Astyanax mexicanus: one gene and its partner. The protein of the gene in region 2 interacts with the protein of the main gene of each other region in a biochemical or structural test. Links are inferred from orthologs where the notes say so. Each region holds a gene or a part of one and is shown on either strand. Other genes may lie near its edges.

Region 1 (3,836 bases), on a different chromosome or scaffold from region 2:
TATTTAAGATAAGCAAAGCATATGGCTAATTTCCTAACTATGTTGGGAGTACCTATTCCAACATAAATGATGAAACTTCTAGAATACACAAATAAAGTATAGTAAAGGAAACTCATTTGTGGGTCCGTGTTTACAGCAACTTTTAACTTGTGAATAAGTCACAAATACAATTTAAACATGAACATTGCTTGTATGCAGTAACGACTAGAAGTGTTTTCGTAACATTCAATAAAATTTAGATTTTCACCGAAAACTATTAAACAAAAGTTGTATCATAAACCATAAAACTTATAGTAATTTGAGTTTCAATTTCAAGTTTTTTTAAAGACAAATACCGTATTTTTACACTATAAAAGGTGCACCGGATTATAAGGCGCACTATAAATAAACATAAATTTTCTGGTCTATTTTCATCCATAAGGTACACCTAATTATGACGCATTATGCGACACTAGTAAGGATATGGGGTGTTGCCATGTTTTCCTTCTAATACACCCAGTGGAGAGACATGTAAAGCAAGCAAAGTTAGATAAACAAAACTGTAATTCTTTATAAAATAAAAATCAAATTAGCACTGGATGTTTATCTACATAGATTTTTAGAAACTGATCATTTGGGTGAGTAATGTGCTTCCGTTTATTAACAGTAAGCTTAGATTTCCACTAAGGCTGGGTGCAGCAGCATTATCAATAGCCGCTAATCGCCTGTAAACGCTTCACTGAGGAACCCTAAGTGTTCTGGTAAGCCAGGGCGATATTATCTAGCTGTATAAGAGGCACCAGATTATAAGAGATGGGTGTGGTTAGTAATGTACATTAAAATATCAGAAAAATATAGTTACTGAAACATCTCAGATCGCAATACATAAATATTGAATTATTGCAGAGCTCTACCTTAAGGAGTGCTCACCAGAGGCAGAGTTGGTGACTCCTGCTATAAAGATGAAACTTTAACATTTACTGGAGTAATATGCTACCCCTGGGTATATCTACTTTAACCTAAATACATAGTGTGTGTACTTTGTCCACTGCTACCCCTCACAGCTAGACAGTGTAAAAAAGGATTTGAGCAACCACAAAAATTATTATCAAAAACACACTTTTCAACAAAATACAGAATCACCACTGAAACTGAAAGAAGCTGGAGTTAGATCTTTTTATGGTGGTGGTGACTAAAAGCCTGTGCCCAAAGCTGCAATGACTCATAGGTCCCTGACATAAGTTATAACACAAAGTTTACAAATATGCTGCCAGATAAAAGTATCATATACATTTCTGACAACAATATGTACCTAGCTTACAACTATTTTATCATTATCAAACACCATTTCATTCACATAAATAAATTACTCATTACCAGTGAAGTCATAGCGGCAGATCTCCTCTTGTCGTTCTCTCAGAAGCGAGTGCTGTCCGTCACCAACTGATGAGTATAGAAAAGACTTATTAGAATTTAAAAATTGTAGAATCACTGTTTAATCCTATGAAATACCCATTTTCAATACTTATGTTTTAAAAATGTAATTTACAGCTTGAAATGTTCTCAAATTCAGAGGTAAATACTGTTCCACAGCACTGTAAAGGTAAAACTCTTTGGATACTGCTATTGTATTTCTCAGTTTTTAGTCATTTGAAAAAAGCAGGTTGCTCAGTTTGACAAATTTCACACCATTCAGGCTGTCCATCTCCCTTCCCCAGTCACCTTGCTGTGTAGTGGTGGTGTAGACGAGAAACCTGGACTGCTTTAGACCTGAACCATATAATTTTAAGTGTGGAATCCAGGTTCTGTTAAGGATCTGACAATGTCAGGTTTGAATAGAGGCCTTGTGGTAAGCATGTTAAATACAGTAATTGCTCATATCAAACCTAGTAGTGATACAAAGGACACTAACAGTTCAAGAATATGTGCAGACCATCCTGGGATCACATGTTTTCTTTTATGGCAGGGCTTCCAACAGGCATTTTCAGCAGGATAATGCTCGTCCATGCATAGCAAGGCTTTCCCAGAAATGTCTTTGCCAGAGTGGCCGATGGAAGTTGTGAACATTTGTGGGCTGAAGCTGAAACCTGTATGCATCCTAACAGGGTACTTGAGCCCCCTTTTAATTGTACATGTTTGCTTTCTGTCAATAATTTAATTCTGTTTCACTAATATTGTCATTTTTACATACACTTACATGTACCATGTTTAATACCATATCTTATTTACTTATTTTTTTTAAATATACACATCTATATATAATATACATATCTACATCCAATAAAATGAGGCTTTTTATAGTCTTATTTTTTTAAGTTTTATGTATTATGTAGATTACCTTTTTAGAGTCATCATGACTGAAAAAGATCCCAAAGAAAAGATCTCCCAAACAGTGGTGTGATTTTTTTTTCCTCCCAAAAATATAATTCATGCCATAGAGGATTAAATAAAAATGTAAATGTCAGAATGACAAATAAACACTCAATCATTGGAGTTGTTTTTATGGTTTATGCTGTAGAGGCTTAACTTAACTAGCAAACTAATGTGTAGAAAAACAAAGCATATAAAATACTGAAATAATACAGCACAACCACTAACCCAGCAAACTTATTCCAAACATGAGCTGTATTTAGCTTAATGTGTGTACCGGTTTATTTAACTGATAAACGACATGTAAATAAAGAATAAAGCTGTACATATATATATACACCAAGAGACTCCGCAGCAGCACATTAAGGATTATTAAAACTCATCAGGTTAATAATCCGCTGAAAACTCACCGGACTCTCCAGCAGCCGCTACCCGGCGAAAAGCTCAACAATCCCGGCCTTCAGTTCCCGCAAAGCCGAGGCTGACCTCAACACCAGCAGCAGCAAAATTCTCCTAAAACAGAAGCAAAAAATCGTGTTAAAAGAAACGAAGCGACGCGAGAGAAACACAGAAAGAGACACGGAGCTGCTCACAGAACCGACCTGCAGCACAGCTCTGACCGGCCAGCAGCTCTTTCTCCCGGCTACAGCAGCGCGTGGAGCGGTGGGTTCGCACCGCCGCCTGGTGGTCTGGAGCAGCGGCCTGCACAATTAGGCCCAATCTCATTTCACCCCATGGCCCTACCACTTACCCCTACCCCTTCTTTTCTAGTGTAACACCTAGGGCTTGATTATTTTCCTTGTTAAAAAATATGATAATTACTATATTACCATAGTTTAATATGTAGTTTCAACATTTTGTGGCCATTTTCTTTATGACAAGCATTAAAAAAACGCTAGTGTAACAGTGTTAAAAATGCGTTTTTAATATTTAACAGATCTAATCAACTAAATAATGCATGTGCATGTGTTAGTTAAAAGCATTAAGTGTAATTAGTTAGTAATTAGTAACTCTGTTGCTAATGCTCGCTTATTCTGTCTAGGCTGGCTAGCTGACAAATTCAAAATTAGCACAAATTCTAATCCAGCAAGCTACCTATTGAGCCATCTACTACTTTCATCTACTGTTTTTTCCTTCAAACTGCAGACACACAGTCACTGTGCTAAAGGCACTCTCTCTCTCTTTATCTCACTCACACACATAAAATATAATATAAAACTCAGTTCAATTAAATAAACTTAAGATGAATAAGGACCTGTAAAGTTAATTAAAAATTGTCAAATATAAAAGATATTTTGAGGTTTTGGTGAGCTGTTTCCACAATTTGAAACTTAAACTAATGTCAGGTTTTCTGAATCAGAAAGCTTGTGAGTTTACATTTTTATTATTTTAAAATTTGAATTTGTTTTATTTCTTTATTTATCAAATAAGTTTTGTTTTATTGTGTTTTTTTTATTTCCATGTTCTTAGTTTAATATTATGCATTT
Region 2 (3,600 bases):
AAAAAGAAAAGAAAAGCAGTTAGAAGACAGTAGATCAAGCAGCACAGTCAAATATTAAATGTAAAGCATCACAGCATGCACATGGCAAGGCAACAATAATTATCAGAGTTCAAGCTGGGCCTGATAGTTAGTGCCAGGTGGATGGGACATTTTATTTATGACGTTGTAATGGTATTTAACATTCTTCGATCCACATCAGCACGTGTACTGGGAACACACCGTAGAAGGCATTTTCACCCAAAGAAAACAGCACAGTAGATGGTAATGCTCGTGCCCAGCAGCATCTGAATGGAATTTTATATACCAATAATTTCTTCCAAATAAATACCAAACCATATTGAGTTTAGTTGGTATGTTTGCTATGATGTTACAAATGTTCTGTCTTCAATAAATACCTTTACATTGTGGTTTTGTATGTTTTTTTCTCTCTCAATTTCATTAAAAAAAAAAAACATTACTTCTACTTAGTTTCAGCTTTTTATTTCAGCTTCTCATCTTTCAAAAAACCCTATCCATGTAAATTCCTCCATGTGGATAGAGTAAATTTGATTGTGGCTGGATGAGAAGTACATGCATAACATTCCGAAATCCTGTTTTTTTACAATCCATCACACCTGCACATCAAGTCATACTCCAGCAAGAACTCAAGCTCTCACAATGTTCCACCTAAGCTCCTTTATTATATTAGCTTAATACTAAAAGGCATTCATTTTTTCAATTGACATATATGTGGATGAAACAGGCAGTCTAATGCATCCCATATTTGTCAACATTAACATTTTAATACGAGTCATTATTGCTTTATAGATAAATTTGTTTGAGGGGGTAGTGCACTATAGGACTCTGTGGCACAGATACTTCAAGTTTATATTTCTCTAGTATCCCTAGTATCTATACGTCTACCCGAGTAATGAATGTAAATAACAGACAACTTTGTTTAAAAGCACATCCATTCAATGTGTGTCAGATCAGAGAAAATTCATGTGGGTTTCAGGAAGTTTACAGAGTACCAATGAGCTCCTTTCAGACTCTCCCGCTAAGTGCAAACATTACCACAATAACACTCACTCATCCTCACAATCTCACAGCCCCGTGAAGAGAGCGAGAGAGATAGAGAGGCAGAGAGAGACAGGCAACCACAACTAACAACTGGACCTTCCATCATATCCAAAAATACATTTATTTTGGTATGGGGAGCTGTTTTAGTCTTAAAAATCACATCAGCAAGTTTCAGTGTAGATATCTTGAATTACTATGTCTACTGGTTAAAAACTTCATTATTGCTAGATGTGTGTAACTGGATTGTTTCTCCTATTGCTAAAATATTACGAATAGAGACGCTTGAGGCTCGTATATTTCTGTAATTATGTTTAGATAATTTAGCTAATGTAAACACACTAGCTACAATAACCTGCAAACGTATCAAAACCAATAGCTATTTTTTTCTTATTAAATGAACATACAAGCGAATTAAAGCTCGCAGAATTTAAGTGTAATTCATTTAACGCTAATTATGAAAAGCAAATGAGAAAGAGCGAATTTTTTTCCTGTAAGAAGCGTTGTTGAACAGAAATCAGGTCACAGTGAATGAATGGCGCTGTTCGGATATACAGCTACTGATTTTAACCAGAGTTAAAGCTCATATATTAATTAACCACTCAGCGATATAAACCCGCAGACTACACTAATCACGCAGCCCAAACTGCAGCTGGACAGCGCGTTAGACTCCAGGCAGCCCCGGTTAGATAAAGCGGAGGCTCGGCTGGGTCCAGGTTGCAGAAACCGCTGGTTAGCTCACTGTGCTAACTGTAGCCTGTCGTCGCTCCAACACTAACCCCCGCACTGGAACAACCAGCCGCTACAGTATCAGCACGGCAGAAGGGGCAGCCGGAGACCCTGAATATTACAATACACCCGTTAATCATTAAAACACTCAGAAATCAGATTAAACCCGCGTCTGATTTTACCTCCCCTCTCTCTGTGTCTCCGGGTGCGCGCAAAACACGGGACTTCACAGCAAGTTCCGCCAGCTTTACCAAACCACTTCCGCTGCTTTATATAATACGAGCACTAACCTCCACCCTCCCAAAAATAATATATAATGCATAATATAAATATGATATAAACGACTCTAATCGACCATTTAACTCCCAAAAATATATATATCCCCTCCTAAAAAATAAACATATATAATATAAATAAAATATAAACTACTCTAATCGACAATTTAACTGCCCAAAACTGCCTATAAATATATATATATATATATATATATATATATATATATATATATATATATATATATATATATATATATATATATATATATTACATATAATATAAACGACTCATACGAATAATAATAATAACAATATCAATAATAAAAATAAAATATGAAGTTTAAAAAAACGAAGATTTTTAGTTAAGTTTCACTTGTTTTTTTTTTTAAACCTCCAAAGATTTACATGAATATTAAAATATGAACGACTCTCTATCGATCACTATACATGTAATTTATTACTTATGAGTTCTAAAAAAATATTGATAAATAAATAAAAAAAACACGAATTAATTTTTTAAAGATTTTATTTGTTAGTTAAGACTTTATTAAGTTTTTATTTTGAAATTCTCGATTCTTAACTCCCTAACGCGGTACTACCAGAGATAGATAGTTTATGCCGAGACTGCTTAGTTTCTATCGCCCACGTTATGTCAGAAAATTACTGTGAACCGCTAGAGGACCCCGCGAGTGAGTTGGGGTGAACTTAACTAAGAACTTAGAATGAAGTATATTACTAAAAAATAAAGAAAAAAGTAAAGAAAACGTTAGTAAAGAAATATTACCATTTGTCTATAGCAAAAAATGTTTAGATAATAGAGACGCTGGCATTTCTACCACTGTGAGCTGAATGGTAAATATATTTAAAAGCTTTAAAGCCATTTTTTCGGTATTTAAAACATTTTAAATTGTTCCGTGTTGAGAATAATAATACAGTTTTCCGTATTAAAGTGATCAAACGTTTATTAACTATGGTTTTGCTCATTTACTCCATGGAGCCATTCATTTTGGGCTCATTTGTGAGCGCCCTCATGTGGTCTAACAAACTCATGTATGATTGTTATTGTGGATTAAGTGGGTATTCTCCTCTATTGAAGTTCTCTGGTAATACTTCAAAATATCAACCAGGTATTTTAAAACTCCTCACTGACGGCTCGTTCATCTGCTGTGGAGGTGAAGTCTGATCAGGGGTTGACAGTGACCCGCAGGATGGCAGCAATGGGGACCTGGTCCTTCTCTCAGCCCGCTGTAGAGAAAATGCGCTCTATGATTCTAGACGGACAGAACGCCACTGATGTAGTAGAGAGAGCAGCTGCAGGTAACCACCATTAAACCCTCTACATTAAAACTGTGCTTTCACTAGAAAATGAGTTTTAAAACACTTTCTCCTCTAAGCAATGAATAAACAGTTGTGTTATAGATATGTTATACAGCTCTGGAAAAAAAAAAATAAGAGACCACTTCAGTTTCTGAATCATCTCTCTTATTTTGCTATTTATAGGTATATGTTTCAGTAAAATAACCATTATTGTTTTATTCTA

What was found.
Region 1: the proteins of TATA-box-binding protein (region 2) and gtf2f1 form a complex in vitro, tested with the Homo sapiens proteins (3 studies listed by BioGRID, with this or other methods). The link is inferred for Astyanax mexicanus from reciprocal best matches to the Homo sapiens genes TBP and GTF2F1.

What each region holds. Positions count from the first base shown.
Region 1 is NC_064426.1:8,389,178-8,393,013, forward strand, and holds the start of gtf2f1 (general transcription factor IIF subunit 1), read right to left. Parts: upstream 2,956-3,836; 5' UTR 2,760-2,955; intron 1,423-2,759; 5' UTR 1,369-1,422; coding exon 1,357-1,368; intron 1-1,356. UniProt on the Homo sapiens protein: TFIIF is a general transcription initiation factor that binds to RNA polymerase II and helps to recruit it to the initiation complex in collaboration with TFIIB. It promotes transcription elongation.
Region 2 is NC_064414.1:38,662,273-38,665,872, reverse strand, and holds the start of TATA-box-binding protein, read right to left. Parts: upstream 2,118-3,600; 5' UTR 1,968-2,117; intron 1-1,967. Other genes in the region: zgc:153169 (N(4)-(Beta-N-acetylglucosaminyl)-L-asparaginase), read left to right, coding at 3,269-3,377. UniProt on the Homo sapiens protein: The TFIID basal transcription factor complex plays a major role in the initiation of RNA polymerase II (Pol II)-dependent transcription.